Drosophila melanogaster: one gene and its partner. The protein of the gene in region 1 interacts with the protein of each later gene in a pairwise test. Each region holds a gene or a part of one and is shown on either strand. Other genes may lie near its edges.

Evidence for each region.
Region 2: the proteins of corn (region 1) and p24-2 interact in a two-hybrid assay, tested with the Drosophila melanogaster proteins (one large-scale study listed by BioGRID).

The regions. Positions count from the first base shown.
Region 1 is NT_037436.4:7,155,421-7,159,175, forward strand, and holds the start of corn (cornetto), read right to left. Parts: upstream 1,654-3,755; 5' UTR 516-1,653; intron 1-515. Other genes in the region: CG8620 (uncharacterized protein), read left to right, coding at 2,827-3,390.
Region 2 is NT_033777.3:9,690,727-9,694,481, reverse strand, and holds the start of p24-2 (p24-related-2), read left to right. Parts: upstream 1-1,706; 5' UTR 1,707-1,782; coding exon 1,783-1,915; intron 1,916-1,977; coding exon 1,978-2,579; 3' UTR 2,580-2,739; coding exon of another isoform or gene 2,740-2,857; 3' UTR 2,858-2,936; coding exon of another isoform or gene 2,937-3,317; intron 3,318-3,378; coding exon of another isoform or gene 3,379-3,755. Other genes in the region: CG32939 (uncharacterized protein), read right to left, coding at 445-915, 973-1,128, 1,191-1,313; Unc-115b (uncoordinated 115b), read left to right, coding at 2,740-2,857, 3,007-3,317, 3,379-3,755.

The DNA of each region.
Region 1 (3,755 bases):
ACCTCTGACCCACCACAACCACCCTCTCGCCCACACGACGATGTGGCTTCAACATAAGACGCAGCTCATATTCGATAACCACTTTCTACCCGCCAATGAGTTACAGTGGAGATTGGGTAAGCTTAACTTTTATCCTGATACAAAAAACAAAATATTTGCTTAAATTTGGCTTGTTACATAAGCAAAACTTTCATTTTCTTCGTAAAGAAAATTAATTGTACTTAAATGCTATGGAAAAACTATAAAATTTTACACGTAAGAGCCATTTGCCTTTCCCCCATATCCCACATCCATTATAAAAAAATATAAAAAGGACATTAAGATTTGTTAATCGATTTCAATTTAAAACTGACATTAACAAACAAAAAAACGATGTATCAGTTGGTATTAGTAAACTTTCTAAGACCAAGTGAAGGCAATTTCTAATCAGTTTGTGCTCAAAGCGATATTCTCTGCAATTTAACTTAGAACTCGCAGAATGTTCTACTTAGTGGCGTTCCACTGTAGCTACTCACCCACGGAGCTGGAGTTGAAGGAGGAAAACTGTGCCAGCGGTTGAGGAGGTTGAGGCTGCTGCTGGAGTTTCGTTCGTTGATTCGCTCGTTTGCTGTTTTGTTTGTTTGTTTGTCGGATTGTTGCTGTCTTTGTCGCTCAGTTGTTGTTCCTTTGGTGGGCGACGATGGAAATGTCAGAGGGTCGCGGTATTGGTATTACGGCCTCCCAGGGCATTCTCTTTTCGCTTGAGTTTTGATTTTTTTTTTTGCTTTGCCTGATAATTCTATTATTGCTCTCGCTCTCTTGGGGGGGAGTGCAAAATAATGGATGGCAATTCGCGGACGGAAATTTGCGAATTTAGCGCGTCGCTTCAATTTTGTGCAAATTGAATGCACAAACACTGAGAAGTGGAGAGAAATTACTAACTTCGGCGTTCTCCCTGTCTCCCACACACACACATACACGTGCACGCGCGAAATTTCGTGACAGCTGCAGCTGGAGAAGAAGAAGAGCATGAATGATCGCTCAAGGACTCGGTATCGTCCTGCCGTTTCCTCTCTCTCTTTCTCTCTCTGGTTCACTTCCTTTTGTTGTTCCGTTTACCTAACACAACGGCTTATTTGTATTGTCAGGACCAACTCACACACACGCACATACACGTACACTAGCGCACTGCAGCTGAGCCCAAAGGAAAAATCGATGATGAATCTGCGAATTAAAAGTCTATAGCCGCACATCGATTAATCTGCAGCTGAAGCGAGTCGCTTTAATTTAGTTTTTCAGCCTTGTTTTTGCTGCTTACGAGGAAAAAGACAGCAAGGCTTCGTTGAAAAACCCGTTCGGCGCGCAGGAAAGTCGGAAAAACGAAAATCGTATAGCGGCTTGGTAACAAAACGCGCCCACTCGCGGAAAACAACAAGTTTAAATATTAATTAAATCGATTTATATTTACTAAATCATAATATACATCGCTATTACTTCATGTAGGCGAGCAGAAGCACACTCCACGTCGAATTTATTGTTCGTTTGCTTAAAAAATCAGTTTCAATTGCCGCAACTCCGTTGGCATTAAAGTTATAACGATGTTTCTTTAATAATATTTTTTAATGGTAACCGAAAAAACAGCGCGCGCTGCTGCGCTCTCCCGAAAAATTACAGAGAGAATGCGTTGCGAGCTGCTTATATAGATTTTTAAAATATCAGAGAAACCAAATGATGGTAATGTAAAAATACCAAAGCCGGGAAATCGCGTTTTAACAGTCTGTTAACAGTCTGGCGTATCACACTGTTAATTCTCTTCAGCGGTTAAATGTATCTATTGGATGCGCCAAATATATCTTATCCATATTAACAGCTATTTTGATTAAGAAAACTTAGACTCGTTTAGTTTTATTTAAAATTTTTTAATAGTTTTGAATTATTATACCTTTTGTCGATTTTTAAATATAAGTAAACGTAAGGAATGATTTTAACCGCTTGTGGTTAAGACTGCATATTTTGGCGGGCACAATTCAAAAGCAATCATGAAAATACCACAATAAAAATACTAGTCTCAAGCGGTAATGTCTTATACGTAGTCTTATACCTTAAAATTAAATAGCAGTTCTGTAAAATATTTAACCGTTTAGTATTTCTAAAATAATGTGCTAAACCTGATTTATGCAATTATTAAGATCCCAAAACATTTTCAAAAAATTGTGTAAATTTCTTAATACTTTATATTCTTAAAATTTTCGATGATTTAAAACGATAAAATAATTGTTTTAAAATTACACACTTGGACGAAATTCAAAATTAAAATTATATCAAAATAATGTCATATTTCACAAAATCGTAAAAAATAATAAAAGGTATGCTTATAAAAATACGCAGAATATTTATAATGCATATAATATGCAGAAATACAAAAGTAAGAAGAATTTCGCAAAAATATGAAATATGTTTGAGGTTACGTTCGGCAATGAAATTATGTAACATTAAAAACACGTGATCAATGGAAGTAATTTCCCAAAAACCCATGAATGCGATTTGGTTAAAAATAGCTCAGATGACGTCACATTTATCGTGTGGTTTGTATGAGTATGTGACTGATAAAGAAAGGCAAATGTTTACAGTCCGAAAGTCGCGATTAGCTTGGCGCCAAAGTTGCCTATAAAAGCTCATCGACCGAATGCCGCAGAAGCCAGTCAAATTCAAGTGTTCAAGTGAAGCAGTCGAAACATAAGCAACAGATTCCGCAGCAGTTATATCCAGTTCAGAGAAACAGTAGTTAATCAGTAATTAAAGTGTTGAGTGAATTTCTTATCGGGTCAGTTGTAAACTAGTGCAAAAATGTCGCAATCCGATAACGTGGCACGTGAGCAAACTGCGGCAAATGCAGGGCCGGATGCATGTCAAGGATGCCGCGGCCAATTGCCAAATGCCACGCCCGTGGAAGTCGAGGACATGGCCTTGCCGTCGATGGAGCGTCTCATTCGAAAGGCCAACATGGCCCAGAAAATGCTGAACGATGTGATGAAACAGATCCAGAAGCAGCAGCAGCAGGAATCTCAACTCTCCATCAAGGAGACCAAGTCCAAGCACCGCAGCTCCGATGGAGGTAAACGACGACACAGAGGACGCAAACATCATAGTCATAGTCATCACACTAGCTCATCTTCCAGTTCCAGTTCCGACCACAGTGACTGCGAGCTGATCCTGGCGGAGAAGGAGGGGCACATGCCGCGGAGAAGACACACGCGAGATGACCGCAAGCGGGATCGTTCCCGGTCTCGCGGTCGCTCCCGTGGTCACTCGCGTGGTCGTTCTCATGGGCGTTCTCGTTCCAGGTCCTACACCGATTCCCGACGATCTCGAGCACTACCCCTGGCTCTGCCCGTTCGGATTTCAGTGTGAGTATCTGGCTTCATTCAGTATTATTCAATATTCATTTTATATATTAAGTGCGCATAAAAAAACCAAAAAAAAAAAAATAATAAAATATATAAAATATGAAAAAAATATTCAAATGAATTCTTTTTAATGGAGGGTGGGCTTATCTTTATTTTGGGTGCAAATAATACATACTGTTCAGGTATTCAAGATAATAAGTTACATTCGTTGATGAAATGCTGATTTAATTTAGCATTCATATTTACCAAAGTTGTGAAATATTTGAACCATTTTTCTGAGAAAATAAAGTTCAAAGTTTTGGAACTGTAAAAAGAAGTTTTTATCTTACCTCCATCAGCCGATTAACAAATAAACAATCGTTTGTTATT
Region 2 (3,755 bases), on another chromosome or scaffold:
TAAATCATTACGCAAATTTTATTTATTACTAAATATTTTATTTATTTATTTAAATAGAATATGTCAAAGAATAAACCAGAGATAATAAAACAGGACAAAAGCAGTGTCAACGTGTTTACAATTATTAAAACTTCGAGTGTGGAGATTATAAAGTTTCTTCTTAATCCTAGACGGAATTTACTCTTTGTCGAGCCGACAACGGCTAAAGTCTGTCGACATGCAGGAATGTTTGTGGAGTATTAGCTTACTATATATTGGCTAAACTGGCTTTAAACATTGTCGAATCGATAAAGAAACGCCATCAAGGGCATAATTCGGTGTGATTTGAGTTCGGGACGCAATATGTGACTGGAATGTAAAGTTCACAGAATAAATACGTAAATATTAAATAAGATTCCACAGAATCCATTTATCTATCATCTATATTGCACCATTGGTAACGCACTAGTTTTGCTTGTGCAAAGCTGCTCCGTCGGTACGTAACCCATAGGTCAGCTGGGTTTTCATCACTGCCAAACTGCTGCCAATGATCTTTTTGTGGTAGATCTGCCGCGTAACGAACCCAAAATCATCATAAAAGTCGCGCTCACTTTCCTGCCACTCGGAGATAGTGCACTCCAGTGAGGCGTACCCGCCGATAATGCAGTTCTTGACCACCAGTTTTATCATGGGGTCCATGATCGTCTGACACGGGTAATGGGGATCGATGGCAAAGCGATAGATCCATGCAGCATTGTATACGGCGTGGTGATTCTTCACACTAATAGCGGCCACAATCCTGCGCCGGAATTTCCTCGTGTATGTTTCCTCGTATGGACAGTTCTCGGTAAATATCTGGTAGCTAGCTTCCTTCGGTGAGCAGCGGAAAATGAAGGGTTCATAGCACTCGGCCACCAAAGACTGCGATGGTTTGGTCTGGAAAGTAAACGTTCTTAGTTTGAGATACTTTGCTGCCGATGCTTTAACACTTACCCTCATCAACTCCACTGCCTTGGAGTAAAACGAGAAGTAGGTGCCGGTAAATAGGCAAAATATGCAAGCGGGCACAGTGAGTGCACAAAAAAGCAGGGGCACTCCCAGAAATATGAAGAATATGGCCCACGTGATGACTATGAACTGCAGGGTGATCTGAAAAAAGTTGAAATCCAAATAGTTCATAGAGTTTGGGGATCTAGATAAAGATGTCTCACCTCTCGAAAGCAATAGACAAAAAAGGACTTATTCGAGAACGACATGATGTAGTCCCGCACCAGCTCCTGGCACTTGAGCTCATCATCTTGCGTGTAGTTGCGAATGACAATAAATGGCTGCATTAATGTGTTATTAAATTATTAGATAAGCCGAACCAAAAAAAAATAAAAACACCGATCAATCAGTGTGTCCAAAGCGATGCAAAATCCACTACTTCTTATGGCAAAACAGCTGTTGCTGCGGTGTTGCCACTCGAGACAGATATCGGCAAAGAGAACTCAAGACTGATAGCGTGAGAATAACTATCGCAAGAAGTTTATTTATTAGATATAATATTTTACAATGTTTGAAAATTAGTCTTCAACTCTTATTTTTTAAATGTACACCTGTTTGAATAACTATTTTAATTTATCGTTTGTTCCATTTATTTAAAAGAATCGCTTTCGTGAGCTTGCCGTGAGCTAGCCCAATCACGGTGCCATCTCTCATGCCAAACACTCTGACTTTGATCTGGCACTTTTTCTCATGACGTGTCGGCGAGCTTAACTTTATTAAAGAACTACTCGAAAAAGTCACTGCAAATAGCCGAAAATGCGCGACCAATTCATCAGCCTGGCCCTGATTCTGTGCGTCCTGCACAGCGCCTGCGGCTTGTACTTCCACATATCGCAGACGGAGCGCAAGTGCTTCATCGAGGAGGTTCCCGACGAGACAACTGTGATTGGTGAGCCAGAGCCTAGTGCCAACTTGGAAGTTTTACCAATCGACTAACTTGTCCTCCTGCAGTTAACTACAAGGTAGAGCTGTATGATCCGCGCTCTAATGGATTCATGCCCTCGTCGCCCGGAATCGGCATGCATGTGGAAGTACGCGACAGCGACGACAAGATTGTGCTGTCCCGCGTGTACAGCTCACAGGGCCGCATCTCGTTCACCTCGCACACTCCTGGCGAGCACGTCATCTGCATGTTCTCGAACAGCACCGCGTGGTTCAGTGGTGCCCAGCTGCGTGTTCACCTGGACATCCAGGTGGGAGAGCACGCTATCGACTACGCCCATGTGGCGCAGAAGGAGAAACTGACTGAGCTGCAGCTGCGCATCCGCCAGCTACTTGACCAGGTGGAGCAGATCACCAAGGAGCAGAACTACCAGCGATACCGCGAGGAGCGGTTCCGTCACACCAGCGAGAGCACCAACTCCCGCGTGCTCTGGTGGTCGCTGGCCCAGACCGTCGTCTTGGTTTGCATGGGCTTCTGGCATCTATTTAACCTGTTCCACACTTGTGTGTACATTAACGAGCAGTGTTTGTGTGTGTGCTGTCTTTATATAAAGAAAATATCTGCCCTTGGCCTTATCAATGATAAGATTAATGGCTTGCCAGACCCGTGAGTCAGACTACAAACGACTTACGGCCATGTCGGGGTGTGTAGAAGAGTTGGCCTGGTTGTGACTGTCAATACAAGTGCTTACATAGGCACACAAGTGTGGGGGAAACAACGCACACACACATACAACGAATCTCGCAACATACGATATACGATAAGTTGTGATGTATATATTAATATATATATCCATTCCGAAACATCCACAAACAGACAAGACCAGACCGATATACCCTAGCACATTGGGAACGGAGCTTCGAACTGAGCTCGGTAAAACGGGGCAAGGTTGGGGCATTATCGCATCACATGCATATGACATCAGCGCAACACTGCGTATACGTAATCTGGCGATAGTACTGATTGAATGAATTTAATGTCAGGCTCTACTAACCGTAGTTCTCCCTTCGTTTTCGTCCCCTTTTCCCCGCAAACAGGTAAACAAAAAATCTACTGTGCGAAATGCACGAAGAAGTGCTCCGGCGAGGTGCTCCGCGTGGCGGACAACCACTTCCACAAGGCCTGCTTCCAGTGCTGCCAGTGCAAGAAGTCCCTGGCCACCGGCGGATTCTTCACAAAGGACAACGCCTACTATTGCATACCGGACTATCAGCGGCTGTACGGCACCAAGTGCGCAAATTGCCAGCAGTATGTGGAGGGCGAGGTGGTCAGCACCATGGGCAAGACCTATCACCAGAAGTGCTTCACCTGCTCCAAGTGCAAGCAGCCCTTCAAGTCGGGCAGTAAGGTGAGCTGAAACCCTCCACAGATCGAGTGATAAGTAACTAATCACATATTCCTCCTCACAGGTGACCAACACCGGAAAGGAGGTGCTTTGCGAGCAATGCGTCACGGGTGCTCCAGTGTCGCCCAGTCGCCAGGCGACGGGTGGAGGCGTCTCCTCGCCAGCTCCTCCGGCGGAGAGTCCGACGAGAGCCACTGCCCACCAGCAGCACGGCAGTGTGATCTCTCATAAGGCGCACCTCAAGGAGGACTACGATCCCAATGACTGTGCCGGCTGTGGGGAGCTGCTGAAGGAGGGCCAGGCACTGGTGGCGTTGGACCGGCAGTGGCATGTCTCTTGTTTCCGGTGCAAGGCCTGCCAGGCGGTGCTCAATGGGGAGTACATGGGCAAAGACGCGGTGCCCTACTGCGAGAAGTGCTACCAGAAGGGATTCGGGGTGAA